Oryctolagus cuniculus: one gene and its partners. The protein of the gene in region 1 interacts with the protein of each later gene in a biochemical or structural test. Links are inferred from orthologs where the notes say so. Each region holds a gene or a part of one and is shown in the gene's direction. Other genes may lie near its edges.

Region 1 (6,362 bases):
CCTGGGGTCCCTGCACCTCACCAGCAGGGGGCAGGGGGCGTCAGGCTGCCCCGGGGTCCCTGTACCTCACCATCGGGGGGTGGGGGGCGGGGGGCGTCAGGCTGCCCCTGGGGTCCCTGTACCTCACCAGTGGGGGGCAGGGGTCGTCAGGCTGCCCCTGGGGTCCCTGTACCTCACCATCGGGGGGTGGGGGGCGTCAGGCTGCCCTGGGGTCCCTGTACCTCACCAGTGGGGGGCAGGGGTCGTCAGGCTGCCCCTGGGGTCCCTGTACCTCACCAGTGGGGGGCAGGGGGCATCAGGCTGCCCCGGGGTCCCTGCACCTCACCATCGGGGGGTGGGGGGCGTCAGGCTGCCCTGGGGTCCCTGCACCTCACCGGGGGGCAGGGGGCATCAGGCTGCCCAGGGGTCCCTGCACCTCACTGGGGGGCAGGGGGCGTCAGGCTGCCCCTGGGGTCCCTGCACCTCACCAGCGGGGGGCAGGGGGCGTCAGGCTGCCCCGGGTCCCTGCACCTCACCAGGGGGCGGGGTTGGCGTGTTGGTTCACGTGGAGACTCCCCGCCTATTGAGACGTCAGTGACCCTGGTAGTTTGAAAACACTTTGTTCTTGAGAACAAATGATTTTTGGAGGTTTTTCAGCGGGGAGTGGGGGTAGGGGGAGAGTGAAGATGGGGGAGGGGCCCTGGGGGGCTGGGAAGCACAGGGGAAGCTCCTGGCTCCCGGCTTCGGCCTGCCCAGCCCTGGGCATTGCGGCCATCTGGGAAGTGAACCAGCAGATGGAAGACCTCTCTCTCTCCCTCTACTGCTCTGCCTTTCAGATAAATAAACCCTTAAAAATAAGTTTATTTTATAAAGGAAACATCAATTCCGCGAATTCCTTTTGTACGCATTCTCCGCGTCCTGCAGCTGGAGGCACAGGCCGCCGCAGCTTTACTCTCGTGTGCTGCTCTGGGCCCTGGCACCAGCGCCATGAACGCTGCGTCGGGAAAGCGTGAACCTGCACACCTACTATGACTCAAACTCTGGCACTTTTATCTAGGGGATTTTTTTTTTCATCTGAATGGCAGAGAGACAGGCAGACGGGGGGAGGATCTTCCGTCTGCTTCCAAAAGCCCTTAAACAGCCAGGGCTGCAAACTGCCCGGATACCCCCGTGGGGGGCAGGGACCCGATGACCTGAGCCTGCCCCTGCGACCTCCAAGGGTGCGCCTCAGCAGGAAGCTGGATGGGAGCGGAGTTGGGACTGGGACTCGGGCACTCGGATATGGGATGTAGGGGGTGAGGTGGGTCCCAACAGGTGCGCCAAACGCCAGTGGGGTCTGGCAGTTTGGGAAGAAGCCGGCGAGCCCTAACCCAGACGGTTCTCCCGCAGCATCTACTGCCGGGGCTGCCACAAGCCCCTGTGCTGCTCGTGTGCGCTCCTGGACAGCGGCCACAGCGACCTCAAGTGCGACCTGAGCGCCGAGGTGCTGCAGCGCCAGGACGAGCTGGACGCCACGGCGCGCGCGCTGCGGGAGCGCGGCGGCGCCTTCGGGGCTGCGCTCGCGCAGGTGCGCGCGGCCATCGGGCAGCTGGGCCGCGCGCGCGCCGACGCCGAGGACCTGATCCGCGAGCGCGTGCGCCAGGTGGTGGCACACGTGCAGGCGCAGGAGCGCGAGCTGCTGCAGCAGGTGCACGCGTGCTACCAGCGCGACTATGAGGAGCTGGCGGCCCGGCTGAGCCGCCTGGAAGCCGTGCTGCAGCGCATGCGCACGGGCGGCGCGCTCGTGCGGAGGATGAAGCACTACGCGTCGGACCAGGAGGTGCTGGACATGCATGGCTTCCTGCACGAGGCTCTCTGCCGCTTGCGCCAGGAGGAGCCCCAGGGCCCGCAGGCCGCCGTGCGCGCTGAGGGCTTTGACGAGTTCAAGGTGCGCCTGCAGGACCTCGTGGCGCGCGTCACCCAGGCCACAGGTGAGCACCAGGGCCACCCTCGCCGCAGCCCCCTGGGGTTTGGTCAGGGCACGGCTCATGTTAGCCCTTGAGGGGCCAGCCCCCCTGTGTGCAAGAGCAGAGAGGACCCCTGTGGTTGGGGTCAGGGCAGAAGGGAGCAGAGCGAACCTCCCTGGGCGGCTGGGTGCCGTGGCTTTGGGGAGGAATTGTCACCGCAGCAGCTCCATGAGCCTGAGACTCCCGTGGGGAGGAAGGCGGGGGGCAGGGGGACTGCACGAGGGGTCCCAGGGCTCTTTGACTGAGTCCTGAGCTGGACGTGAGCCCGAGCAGCTGGGGGAGGGGAAGAGAAGAGAGGCTGCGGGCTCTGGAGGCACCCAGGCAGGTGCCAGGGCACGAGGGCTCGCTCTCTTCTGCCGGAGCCGACGGGAGGACATGGGCTTGTGCCCCCACCACCCAGGCAAGGAGCGGACAGCCCCATGTCCAGGAAGTGACCCCACAGGGTTTGGACAGCTGCCTGGCATTGTGGCTGGGCGGTGGCGGGGAGCAGGCTTCACTCTTCGAAGCCCAAGGGATCGTGGTTGGGTTTTGTCCACCGGCTGCTGGGCAGTGCAGAGCCGTGAGTACCAGCGGCTTCAGGGCCGCCCACCCTCTGCCCTGCTGACGGCCCGGAGACGGGCAGGGGTGCCCTTGGGGTTCCAAGCCACAGGCAGGTGCACTGTGACGCCGGCTCCCTGGGCCTGCGCTCGTGCCCACTGCGGTCGGGAGGGTTGCCTCCGTGGAGGTGCCGGGGAGACGGATAAGTGTCTGGAAAGAGCACCAGACACGTCCTCTGTCTGCCCCAGCCCGAGGTGCCCCTCACCTGCCCATGATCTTCTCTGTGTCCCCAGACGCAATTCTGTCCAGGAGAACCAGCCCGCAGTCTGCCAGTACCCCCGGCGACCTGCCGCACGTGGACCTGGTGAGGGGCCCGCGGTCTGGCGGGCGGGAGGCCGCTGGCCCCGTGTCTGCGGAGGGAGGGGCTGTGTGTGGGAGGGGTGGTGCTTCCCGGGAAGCCCTTACACAGGGGTCTGCTGCTCAGGGGCCCTCGGGGCTGCCGTGGGTCCCACCTGGTGGCCGGGGGTGCACCCCGACGAACTGAGAGCTGTGTGTGTAGAACAGGTGGAGCAGGAAGTGGCCAGGGCCACACCCCGACACAGGGGGCAGGTGCCCCCCCACCCCACCTCCACATGGGAGCCTTCTCCTGGGGTCCCCTACGCAGACTCAGACCCTCCTCCTCCTCTTCCCCCACACGTGGCTCTTGGGGACATTCAGAGTGGGGCAGGTGTCCTGTCTCTGTCCCAGCAGCTGGAGTCTCCCGGCTGATTCCGGGGCCTCTGGGGGCTGGCCGGCCCCCTGCTCCTCCCTCTGCGGAGTCTGGAGGTACCCCCCTGCCCTGCACACCTGCACCTCCGGGCACGGGAAGCCTCTACATCTCAGTTGCCCCCACACAAACGCCCCTACCTGATGGGAAGGCCCCAGCGGCCCTGGGACTCGTCCCCTGTGCAGGAAATGGCCTTCGGTCCTCCCAGCCTGGCACTCAGGTTTGCTGAAGGCCTGCAGGGAGGCACAGCAGGTGGCTGGACCGGAGCTAGCCGTGCCAGCCTGGGGCTGGCCAGTCCTCCGAGGAGGGCAGGTCTTCTGGTCGGCAGGCAGGGTCAGGGCTATCGGCTGAGGCAATCTGGAGAGGCTTCCTGGAGGAGGAGGAAGCGCCTGGCATCTGAAAGTTTTAGAGCGAGCAGAGAGGGTAGACTCTTAACTGCCCCCTTCACAGAGGCTGAAGGAAGGCCCAGAGAGGGCTGTGGTGGACCCTGGCCCCACCTGGTTACTTGGGGATGGGGCAAAAGGCAAACCCTTGAGCACCTTGGTCCTGCAGCCCTGTGTGCACCATTTCAAAAGTAGGGAAAGAGGGCATTTTATTTATTCTTTAAGGTATTTATTTTAAAGATTTATTTATTTGAAAGGCAGAGCAACAGAGAGAGAGAGAGAAAGAGAGGGAGAGACAGAGAAATCTTCCATCCACTGGTTCACTCCCCAAATGGCCACAACAGCCAGGGCTGGGCCAGGCTGATGCCAGGAGCTTCTTCCTGGTCTCCCATGGGGTGCAGGGCCCAAGCACTTGGGCCATCCTCCACTGCCTTCCCGGGCCACAGCAGAGAGCTGCATCAGGAAGTGGAGCAGCCGGGACTTGAACCAGCGCCCATACGGGATGCCGGGTGTTCAGCCATCTGTGCCGTGACGCCAGCTCCCTGTTTTGTTTTTGATACGATCGCGTGGTCAGCAATGAGACCGTGGACCCCGGGTGTCACCCACCCGGCCCCCACTTGTGCCCGTGCCCCTCTTCCTCTCTTTAGTCGTTTTATCTGTACCCTCTGGCAGCTCCTCAGGTCCCTGCGAGCAAGCAGACAGCAGAGACTGGTTCTCCCTCCCTGTTTCCGCACCCACTCTCATGGTCCCATACACACATGCAGTGCCCTGGGCCCTCCTCCAGCCTTGTGTCCGGTCGGGGCCGCAGTGTTGGGATCGCTCTTGGCCAGTGCGTGGTGTGCGTCACGTGCCGGCTCCCTGCCCCTGCAGGCTCAGGTGGACAGATCTGCCAGGAAGCGCCATCGAGCAGTAACGGGAAGGGCGGGCCTGGGTGCCCCTGCTCGGCTGTCTTTCTCCCTTGCTGCTGCTGGGCGAGCGGCCGTCTCGGGGGCAGGCGCGGGCTGAGATGGCCTCTGGCCTCTGGCGGGAGCTGATGCAGGCTGAGCTGGCAGCCGCAGGCGGGGCTGTCTTTGCAAGGCCTCTTGCTTTGCCTGCAGGTGGCTGCGGGTGACTGAGCGCGCGCAAGGGCGGGCAAGGCAGGCACCGGCGGGCGGCCCCAGGCGGCAGGAGCTGCGTGCCTGCCTTAGGAGGCGGAAGTTGGGTTCTGGCTCCACCCGCTAGAACGGGCTGGCTTGGTTGCTTGTGTTGGGACTGTGGGCCCAAGGTGGAAGACAGACCCCCGGGAGGACCCCGAGAGTCCCCCGACCAGGAGAGCAGGGGCAAGCAGCGGCTCGTGGTCTCCTTCCTCTGCCTCCCTCTGCCTGTTGTGACGGCACAGAAGTGGAACAGAGAAACAGACATTAAGACAGACTGTTTAAAGCTCAGAGCAGCCTGGTGTTGTGGCTGGTGTTGTGGCACAGCCGGTAAAGCCGCCACCTGCGGCGCTGGCATCCCGTATGGGCGCTGTTTCCTGTCCCGGCTGCTCCACTTCCCATCCAGCTCTCTGCTGTGGCCTGGGAAGGCAGTGGAGGGTGGCCCAAGTCCTGGTGCCCCTGAGTCCATGTGGGAGACCTGACGGGGCTCCTGACTCCTGGCTTTGGCCTGGCCCGGTGCTGGCTGTGGCGACTTCTGGGGAGTGAAGCAGCAGATGGAAGACCTCTGCCCGCTGCCAGTAACTTTGACTTTCAAAGAAACAAAAAATATCTTAAAAAAAAAAAAAAACAGCCGTGAGCTAGCGACCACCACCCCAGGCAGCTGGCAGGGGGCACTGGCCCGGGAGCACCCCCACGTACCAGCCCTCCACGCTCAGCAGTTTCCTGCAGAGGCCGGGGGTCAGGCGGACAGGCTCGGGGGCCCAGGAAAGCTGACAGGGACGGGAGTTTCCGTTAGGAGACCCTGGCTCCTCACCTGGCCGGGGCCCCCAGCCCCATCCCATGTGTCGCCTCCACGGCGCCCCCTTTCCGTGAGCCTCAGATGGCAATAATGAGAGCAGGTTGCCTGCGTTTTCCGCCATAATTTGAAAAGTGTGGTGTGGGGCCAGTGCCTGCAGCGCCGGCATCCCCTGTGGGCGCCGGTTCTAGTCCTGGCTGCCCCTGTCTCTCCCTCTGTCTGTAACTCTACCTCTCAGATACATAAATAAAATCTCGAAAAAAAAAAATGGTGGTGGAATCCATGTAGCCTGGAACTTACCACTGCGTGCACTCACAAGCCTGTAGAGCCATGCCATCTGTGTGCTTCTGGAATGTTTCCACCCCCCCCCCAGGGAAACCCCCACCCGAGAAGCGGCCAGGCCCCACGCACCCCTCACGCAGCTCGGCTTCCTGCCTGCTTCTGTGTCTGCAGCGCCTTGCTCTCTGTGCGCGGGCCGAGCAGTAATGAACACCGTGTGTGCCTCCACTCCTCGCCGCCTGCGTCGACGGCACGGATTCGGGCCGTGTGCATGTGCCTTTGCATAATTATTTTTTTAATTTATTCATGAGAGAGGGAGAGAGAGATCTTCCATCTCCTAATTCTCTCCCCAAATGCTTGCAACAGCTGGGCCAGGCCAAAGCCAGGAGCCGAGCACTCCATGCAGGTCCCCCGCGTGAGTGGCAGGGCCCAGGCACTTGAGCCATGGCTGCTGCCTCCCAGGGTGCCCGTGGGCAGGAAGCT
Region 2 (4,681 bases), on another chromosome or scaffold:
GGCTGACCCAGAGGCCAGTGCCTTGTGAGCCCTGAAGGTCATCTCTGAGGGTGGCCCAGCTCTGGGCCTCGAGTGATCTCAACCAGTGCACAGAGCCCTTGGGCGCCTCTGAGGGCGGGCAGACCTACCTCTGACGGGGTGAGGCTGGGCCGTCCACAGCGTCCAGGTGGATGAGGGGCTCATGCTGGAGCCAGCCTTGGCCACTGGTGGCCCAGGACTTGGTGGGGGCGGGGGCCAGAACTCTGAGGTTTGGGGATGGACTCACCATCGTGTGGGCAGCTCCCAGGTGCTGTGGTGAGGACATACCACCATGGCCACGCCCAGGGCTTGCGGGCGTTCGCCTCCATTCCAGCCCACACTGGGGCCGCAGTGCTGCCCCGCCGTAAGCAGCCACACTTCCAAGGCACAGCAGCAGCGGACGCCTGCCGTGGCGTCACCAGTGGGAACGAGATGTAGCTGGCTGCTTGTGCTCCCAGTCTGGTGAAGAATTACCTGCACAAGAGACTGAGTGCATAGGTGAAGAGAAAAATGAAATGTGATTGCTCTGAAGGGCAAAAATTTTATTATTATTTAGCCGATTTTTTTTTTATGGTAAAAAATTTATTTGAAAGGGAGAGAACAAAAGGGAGATCTTCCATCCATTGGTTCACTTTCCAAATGGCTGCAACAGCCAAGGCCAGGCCAGGCCAGGCCAAAGCCAGGAGCTTCATCTGGGTCTTCCATATGGGTGGCAGGGACACCAAGCACTTGGGCCATCTTGCGCTGCTTTTCCTAGGTCCATTAGTAGGGAGCTGGATTGAGAGTGGAGCAGCCAGGACACAGTCTTGAGCCCATACAGGATGCTGGTGTCGCAGGTGGCAGCTTAACCCAGTGCACCATAATGCTGGCCCCTACTTTTTTTAAGATTATTTATTTTTAAAGAATTACAGAGAGGGAACGACACAAAGTGATCTTCTATCCACTGGTTGATTATTTATTTTGAAAGAGTTACACAGAGAGGGAGAGACACTGAGATCAGTCTCTCCATTGGTTCACTCCCCAGATGTTTGCAAGGGCCCCAAGCCTGAGCCAGACCAAAGCCAAGAGCCAGAAGCTTCATCCAGGTTTCCCATATGGGTGGCAGGGGCCTACATAGTTGGGCCATCTTCTCATGCCTTCCTGGTTGCATTAGCAGGTAGCTAGATTCAAAGTGGAGCAGCCGGGATTCAAGACAGCACCCATGTGAGATGCTGGCTGGCCTCACAGGTGGCTACTTTACCCACTGTGTCACAATGCTGGGCCCCCAGCCATACTCTCCCTAAATGTTAAGCAGTGAACACGTTGAATAATATCTTTTGAAAATAGACTTTGTGTTTGAGAGATTTAAGGCTTTTAGAAAAATTGAACAGAGAATTCCAGCAAAACCGGCGCACCTCCCATTAGTGGGGTGCATCTGTTGCATTTAACTGAAGTTCAGACTTTATTCAGATTTCCCCAGTAAACCTTTTCTGTCCCAGGGTGCCAGCGAAGCCACATAACTTTGTCATGCCCCTTCAGCACATCTTGGCACCCACAGTGTCTCTTGTGGGTCTGCATTCTCCTGCTAAAAACCACGCTGTCAGCACCAGGGCCGCCTGCCTTTCCCGTCGTGAGGTGTAAAGTTGTCTGCAGGACAGGAACACTGAACTGAGAAGCACGACCCTCTCATTTACCTGCAGCCACCAACTGCAGTCCAAGCAGGCCTGGCAGGGGGTAGCCGGGTCCGGGAGGCAGTCCTGCGTCCCTAGGGCCACTAGTATCTTTCATGTGCGTCTCACAAAAAAACACCGTGGGTGTTTGGAGCCCTTCTCAAGGCAAAGAACAAGATGTCGTGCCTGTGAGATGTGACACGGAACTCCGAGTGTCCAGTAGAATAGTGAGGCATCATGGGAAACGGCTTCCACGGGCCCTCGCTCCTCAGGTTTCTGAGCTGGTGTGCTGGGTCTGCAGGGGCAGGCCAGGCTCCGCTTCCGTCCTTGCCGCTCTCTCCTCTCTCTTCCTAAGGACGCTGCGTGTTCAGGGCCCGTGTGCTGGTGGGGTCGGCTGCAGGCCCCTGCGAGGCTGGGCGGCCTGACGTGACGGCTCTGCGTGTGTTGCAGGGCAGTCAGGGCGACAGCAAGAACGCCAAGAAGAAGAACAACAAGAAAACCAACAAGAATAAGAGCAGCATCAGCCGTGCCAACAAGAAGAAACCCAGCGTGCCCAGCGTGTCCAACGACCTGTCCCAGAAGCTGTATGCCACCATGGAGAAGCATAAGGAGGTAGAGCTGCCAGCACAGGGGGTGGCACGGGACACGTGTGCTTGGCAGCCGGAGCTTGTGGGTTTGGTGATGCCGCGCCATGGTGTGCCGGTGGCGGGTGGGCTGTGCGCTCTCCGGGGCTAATGCTGCTCCTCTCCCCAGGTCTTCTTTGTGATCCACCTGCACGCAGGGCCTGTTATCAACACCCTGCCCCCCATCGTCGACCCAGACCCGCTGCTCAGCTGTGACCTCATGGACGGGCGCGACGCCTTCCTCACGCTGGCCAGGGACAAGCACTGGGAGTTCTCCTCACTGCGCCGCTCCAAGTGGTCCACGCTGTGCATGCTGGTGGAGCTGCACACCCAGGGCCAGGACCGCTTTGTCTACACCTGTAACGAGTGCAAGCACCACGTGGAGACACGCTGGCACTGCACGGTGTGCGAGGTGGGTCTGCCCGGCAGCCAGGGCCAGGATCTGGCAGGGCTGTCGTGGGTTTGGATGTGGCCTTGGCATCTCTGTGCAGTGGCATTGGTGCTGGCTCAGGGTGAGGAGAGGAGCACGAGGCCGAAGGCTTTGTTGCTTTCTCCCTGGTGTTTCTGTGTCGGGCGCAGACCGTGCAGTGCTGAGGAAGCCTGCCTGGAGAGCCGGAGGGAGGCTCAGGGCAGACAGGCACAGACACCTGCTCCTGCTCCCGCGTGCTCCGGGGCTGGTCTAGCTGAGGATTTCGGATGCCCTCGACCCTTTGTTGTCCCGGCCCCTCACTGTTCCTAATGGGCCCCGTACACGTCTCACAGGCCTTCCTCTGCAGGTTTGGGCCTTGATGTGGAGTCGCCCGCGGGTGGGTTGTTGGGCACAGTGTGACCCTTCGCCTCTTCCACAGGGCAAGTCGTCGGGCCTGCCCTTGACCCCTCCTTCCTCCCAGGACAGTCCGTAGTCACCGCCGACCAGGGCTGCTTGCTCTGCGCTCTGCCACAGGCGGTCGCCATGCATGTCCCAGACCTCTCTGCTCCCCTCCGCTGCCTGCCTTCTTTCCCCCAGCCTCCTGCAGGCTCTTTGTCCTCCTTTTTGGGTGTTTTTTTGTAAGATTTGTTCACCTACTTGAAAGGCAGACCTGAGAGGGGACATCTTCCATCCGCTGGTTCACCCCTCAAATGTTGCAGCAGCCGGGGCTGCTCCAGGTGCAGCCAGGACCCAGGAATCCAGGTCTCATGTTGGGGGCAGGGATGCTTGGGCAATCTGCTGCTACTTCCCCAGGCACCTGAGCAAGCAGAGATCATCAGACCCGGGCCGACACGGGATGCTGACGTCGCCGGTGGCCACTCTCCGTGCTTGGCTGCAGCACTGCCCCCACTCCTGAGCCCTCACTGCTGTCGTGTTCTTCCGGGGCTCACCATTAGTCGGCCTGGGCGCAGGGCTCCGATGTGGGGGACGTGTGTCTGCCTCCTGCTTTCCAGCTGTAGGCAGCTCTGTCCCCAGGACTTGCTTCTTGGGAAAGCCTGTGTGGTGCCTTCCCCTGGGGAGATGCCCATGGTATCTGCTGGCCCTTGGGTGGCACCTCTCGCCCTCACACTGTTGGCCTTCGTGGCTGGGTGTGGCAGAGTCCTGATGCGATTGCGGGAGAGAGAGGAGGGAGGGGAGCCAGCGTCCCTGCCTGGGTCCTCGGGCAGACGGTCCTGTGTGTTAGCGTGCACGCCCCCAGCCCGAGGGGGCGGCCTTGCTGACCACTCTCTTTGCTTGCAGGACTATGACCTGTGCATCAACTGCTACAACACGAAGAGCCACACGCACAAGATGGTGAAGTGGGGGCTGGGCCTGGACGACGAGGGCAGCAGCCAGGGCGAGCCGCAGTCCAAGAGCCCCCAGGAGTCGCGGCGCCTGAGCATCCAGCGCTGCATCCAGTCCCTGGTGCACGCCTGCCAGTGCCGCAACGCCAACTGCTCGCTGCCGTCCTGCCAGAAGATGAAGCGGGTGGTGCAGCACACCAAGGGCTGCAAGCGGAAGACCAACGGCGGCTGCCCGGTGTGCAAGCAGCTCATCGCCCTGTGCTGCTACCACGCCAAGCACTGCCAGGAGAACAAGTGCCCCGTGCCCTTCTGCCTCAACATCAAACACAAGCTTCGCCAGCAGCAGATCCAGCACCGGCTGCAGCAGGCCCAGCTCATGCGCCGGCGGATGGCCACCATGAACACCCGCAACGTGCCTCAGCAGAGTTTGCCTTCTCCTACCTCAGCTCCGCCCGGGACCCCCACGCAGCAGCCCGGCACGCCCCAGACGCCGCAGCCCCCTGCCCAGCCCCAGCCTTCACCCGTGAGCATGTCACCAGCCGGCTTCCCCAGTGTGGCCCGGACTCAGCCCCCCACGACTGTGTCCGCAGGGAAGCCCACCAACCAGGTGCCGGCTGCCCCGCCCCCTGCCCAGCCCCC
Region 3 (5,085 bases), on another chromosome or scaffold:
GGGACAGCAAGAACAGAAACAATGAGTTGGGTGCAGGAGACATGTTGGAGGAGGAGAGATTATGAGTGCCTCATATCTTCCTGTTCATGGAGGAAAAGAATCCTCCAAGGTCTGGGAACCAAACGGCCAGTAGAATATTTTATGAACAGATATGGAGGTGTCAGGAAGGAGGGTGAGGTGGCTGGATTTTTAGGAAAGGATAAGGAGGTCACTGGGGAAGATCATTTTTACGTAGTGGGAGGCAAAACTGTATCGCTGGAACTATGAGGGAGAACCCAACCTGTGATAAATACGTGGGAGTTGCCTGCGTGGAGATGATGGCTTAAACTGTTTGGATGGGTGGTGTATTGCCGGGAGAAGAGAGTCCAAATGTGGTAAATGCAAACACTTTACAGGAAGAAGAGGAAGAGGAACCGCCCCCACCCCCAAGCACAGTGGGAGGAAGAGATTGCAGAGAATCCTGATAAGAGCTTCTAGAAGGAAGTCGTGGTTGCAGTGTCAGATGTCACAGAGACAATGATAGAGGCTGAAACGGCCAGTGGATTGGTCTGCTAGAAAGTCATCTACCTCTAAGAGTGCAGGCCTCGGGCCAGCGTTGGGTGTAGTGGGTAAGGCTGCTGCCTGCAATGCTGGCATCCCATCTGGGCGCTGGTTCAAGCCCCGGCCGCTCCACTTCTATTCCAGCTCCCTGCTAATGCCCTGGGAAAGCAGTGGAAGACGGCCCAAGCGTTTGGGCCCTGCACCCACGTGGGAGACCCAGAAGAAGCTCCTGGCTCCTGATTTCAGTCTGGCCATTTGGGGAGTGAACCAATGGATGGACCATCTCTCTCTCGCTGTCTCTTCCTCTCTCTGTGTAACTCTGACTCTCAAATAAATAAGCAAATCTTTATTAAAAAATTACAGTCGTATAGTGTTTGAAAGTGAATGGGAAGATTACTAAGTGAACACTTAAGAAAAGGGAGGGTCAAGCGCGGATTACGGGGAGAAGAAGGGGAGAGTGGGGGGCGGCCGTCGCTCCTCCTGCCCTCCAGCTGGGAGTCTGTGTGTGCACAGCAGGACTGGCCGACCTGCAGGAAGTGTCTGCTAAGGACTGGCTCCAGTTAAGCAGGGAAACTGAAAGCTGCAAGGGAAAGTGCTGGACACAGAGTTCGAGAGGAAACGGGGGACCGTGGGCCTCCAGAAAGGGCAGTTTCCATGTTGGAGGACAGACACCCCTTCCTCTGAGACGGGGGAGAGGGGCCGGGGGATGGAGAGTCGTGAGAGAACCAGGCAGGAGAGCAGAGTAAGGCGGGCCTCCAGCTTGGGAGCAAAGTGAAGGGTGGGTGCTGAGACGGGGTGAAGAGGAAGGTGTGGACCACCCACTCCGCCTGAGGCCGAGCGCTCCCAGACGCACGGGCGCCGGGTGGCTGAGCCCCAGCAGTGTCTGGCGAAGCTGCGCCCGCTCTGCTCCTCGAAGAAGCCTTTACCCACTGCAGCTACTTTTTTCTGTAAGGCTTACCCTTCCTCATCTCCTTGTTATTTTTCCTTAATTTCTTTTCTGTGGGTTTTTATGTTTCCGGTATCGCCGTGATTATAAATTGTACAACTCTTCCCAAGCAATCATCTTACAAATTTCTGAAGTTAGCTAAATTGTGGGCAAAGTGCTAATATGAAATAGTAGTACTTTCTAGAAAAATTTATCGATGTAAGAATTTAGCATGGAAAATGAGTGAATCGAGTCCATAATCTGTGCTTCCCACTCCCCGGCGAAGAGGCTGATAATCATGTTTTAGTCAATCTAAATGAAAATGTCAGACTCTTTTATTTATAATTTTTCTTTTTTTAAACTTGAGAGGCAGAGAGAGAGAAAGGAAGCTCCAGTCTGATGGTTCACTCCCCAGATGCCTGGAACCATCAGGGCTGGGCCAGGCCAAACCCGGGAGCCAGGAACTCAGGTCAGGTCCCTTACGTGGGTGGGCCAGAACCACCGCCCCCTGGGGGGTGCACCAACAGGGAGCTGAAGTTGGAAGCTGCAGGTGGGTGTTGAACCCAGGTTGGGGACGCGGGCGTCAACTGCTAAGCTGGACAGTTGCTCTGGGAACAACTGTGATAGAGCCCTGCAGAATTTGGTTAAGACGGCTCAGATGCCAGGCAGCACTTGTTCAGCCAGAAGACCAGAGGAGCCCCCCACGGGGCCACCTGACCGCTGGGGCCTGTTGACAGAACTGAGCTGGCTGACCACATGGAGTAGCTAAGCTTGTAACAGTTAACCAGGGGCCACCTGATAGCAGTTTCTTTCACAAACACTATTGATATTTAAAAAGATGAGTGGAGTCCCTGTTCTCATTCTGTGTTCCAAGCCTCCTTCCCCCTGCTGGTGGCAGGGTGACCCACACACTGAGTAACAGGTCCGCTTCTGAGTGCAGTAGATTCCTGTTCCCGGCCTTATTTTGAAGTGGGAGGGAAATGCTGTTGACTCCAGGCCATCTCAGAGCTGCAGCGGATCTCTGGGGTTTATTCATGCAGAGGTGGCTCAGAATTTATTTCTCCTCTTCTCTCCTCACAGGTATGGCCTCACATGTGCAAGTTTTCTCCCCTCACACCCTCCAATCAAGTGCCTTCTGTAGTGTGAAGAAACTCAAAGTAGAGCCGAGTTCCAGCTGGGACATGACTGGGTACGGCTCCCACAGCAGAGTGTACAGCCAGAGCAAGAACACAGCACCTTCTCAGCCAGCCACCACAACCGTCAGCACCTCCTTGCCAATCCCAAACCCCAGCCTACCTTACGAGCAGACCATCATCTTCCCAGGAAGCACCGGGCACATAGTGGTCACGTCCGCAAGCAGCACGTCTGTCCCTGGGCCCGTCCTCGGCGGACCACATAACCTGATGCGGCGCAGCACCGTCAGCCTCCTTGACACCTACCAGAAATGCGGACTCAAGCGTAAGAGCGAGGAGATCGAGAACACGAGCAGCGTGCAGATCATCGAAGAGCATCCACCCATGATTCAGAATAATGCCAGCGGGGCCACGGTCGCCACTGCCACCACGTCCACTGCCACCTCCAAGAACAGCGGCTCCAACAGCGAGGGTGACTACCAGCTGGTCCAGCATGAAGTGCTGTGCTCCATGACCAACACTTACGAGGTGTTGGAGTTCCTGGGCCGAGGGACGTTCGGGCAAGTGGTCAAGTGCTGGAAGCGGGGCACCAATGAAATCGTAGCCATCAAGATCCTCAAGAACCACCCGTCCTATGCCCGACAGGGCCAGATTGAAGTGAGCATCCTGGCCCGGCTGAGCACAGAGAGTGCCGACGACTACAACTTCGTGCGGGCCTACGAGTGCTTCCAGCACAAGAATCACACCTGCTTGGTCTTCGAGATGCTGGAGCAGAACCTCTATGACTTTCTGAAGCAGAACAAGTTCAGCCCCTTGCCCCTGAAATACATCCGCCCGGTCCTCCAGCAGGTAGCCACGGCCCTGATGAAGCTCAAGAGCCTCGGGCTCATCCACGCTGACCTCAAACCGGAGAACATCATGCTGGTGGATCCGTCCAGGCAGCCGTACAGGGTGAAGGTCATCGACTTTGGGTCAGCCAGTCACGTGTCCAAGGCCGTGTGCTCCACCTACCTGCAGTCCCGGTATTACAGGTAAGACCGCACCAAGATGACAGGGGCCGTGAGGGGCCCGGTGGTGGCCGTCACCCAGGGCGAGATAGGAGCGCGTGTGAACAGTTGCTGCCCGCCAGTGATCTTAATGCAGCTGGGAAATTATGGTCCTATTGGCGCACATTGACATGACGGTGAGGAGCCAGGTAAGAGCAGAGCCAAGGAGGAGGCTTAGTCTAGTTGTTCAGAGCTGGAAGGGATCCGTGGGAGCTGGAATGAAGGTCCAGACAAGGTGGAGGAACTGGGTCCTCACGGTGGAGAAGAGGGCGGGCCGTGCTGTCCAAAATCCTGCCGTAGGAATGTGCGAGACAGGTCAGCCACCTGCCGGCAGAGTTCTGAGGGAGGTGTGGTTGCGAGCCAGCACAGAGTGGGACCAGGTTGCTGGGGGTCTTGAGTAGCAGGCTAAAGCTTGGCAACTGTGTCCTGAGATTTGAACAGCCAAAGGTGAAGGCTGGGAAGGCTGCTCCTCTCACCTCCCGTGTGGAGGAGGCTGAGGAAGAGAGAAGTCAGGGAGCCGGCTGCTCACTCCTGTGGTGAGCAAGCCTCGGGTCTGGGCGAGGGGAGAATTGTGGAGCCTCTGGGAAGTGTGAATTAGGCAACCATTCCTCCGTACAGTCAGTCATTCAACAAGCATTTACTTCCAACCCGGCGCCGTGCTAAGTGCAGGGTCGTGGACGAGGCACTCACCGTCCTGGAGTCTCCTGCATACTGATTCTCAGCCCTGGCTGCACCTGCAAGACTCCTGGGGCGCTTCCAAAGTGCCCTCCGCAGACAGAACCCACGGGCCGGCTGAATGACCTCTACCAGCTTTCCTGGGCCCCAGGGCCAGTCAGGCTGAGAGCTGCTCTCTGCTGCCTTCCGAGTCAGGAGGACCCAGGGTTGGACCTGATTCCTCCGCTCAAAAGCTGTGTGGCTTGGGCCAGTTGCCTCATTTCCCTAGACATTCATCTCCTAACCCATGACCTGGGAGAAGCCGGCCTCTGCGCTTGCTGGGCTGATCGCTCGCCGTGGTTAACACATCGTAGGTGCTGCAAGCAGCAGCCAGCCCGAGAGGGGCACAGGGAGGAGCTGGCTGAAGACAGAGAGAGAGGTGGTTTGGGGCAATAGTGATGGGTTGTCCTTGAGGGCGCAGGGACCAGGCAAGTGGTAAGAAATGACAGACTCCTGCGAGAAGACAGCCCGATGACATGGAAGAGGTCCCTAAGACTGCTGCCTGAGACCCTCTGCCCGGGGGCTTCAAGGCCATGGAGAAAAAGCTGGAGAATGTGCTACAGCTGCGTCGACACAGCTGATCCTCACCCATTCCTGGCCCCCTGACTGCCCACAGCGCTGTCGCAAGTCTCCTCCCAGCTTCCCCCGCCTGCTGGGAAGAGCAGTGGTCACATGGCAGGAGCTGCAGGCCCCTCACCTTCCTCCCGGCCTCTGTTCGTCCTGACAC

Evidence for each region. The genes of interacting proteins can lie anywhere in the genome.
Region 2: the proteins of PML (region 1) and CREBBP form a complex in vitro, tested with the Homo sapiens proteins (2 studies listed by BioGRID). The link is inferred for Oryctolagus cuniculus from reciprocal best matches to the Homo sapiens genes PML and CREBBP.
Region 3: of the proteins of PML (region 1) and HIPK2, one has a biochemical effect on the other in vitro, tested with the Homo sapiens proteins (2 studies listed by BioGRID). The link is inferred for Oryctolagus cuniculus from reciprocal best matches to the Homo sapiens genes PML and HIPK2.

Annotation. Positions count from the first base shown.
Region 1 is NC_091443.1:109,460,849-109,467,210, reverse strand, and holds part of PML (protein PML), read left to right. Parts: intron 1-1,368; coding exon 1,369-1,949; intron 1,950-2,815; coding exon 2,816-2,886; intron 2,887-6,362.
Region 2 is NC_091450.1:31,795,369-31,800,049, forward strand, and holds part of CREBBP (CREB-binding protein), read left to right. Parts: intron 1-2,117; coding exon 2,118-2,279; intron 2,280-2,420; coding exon 2,421-2,702; intron 2,703-3,998; coding exon 3,999-4,681. UniProt on the Homo sapiens protein: Acetylates histones, giving a specific tag for transcriptional activation. Mediates acetylation of histone H3 at 'Lys-18' and 'Lys-27' (H3K18ac and H3K27ac, respectively).
Region 3 is NC_091434.1:184,332,727-184,337,811, forward strand, and holds part of HIPK2 (homeodomain-interacting protein kinase 2), read left to right. Parts: intron 1-2,545; coding exon 2,546-3,629; intron 3,630-5,085.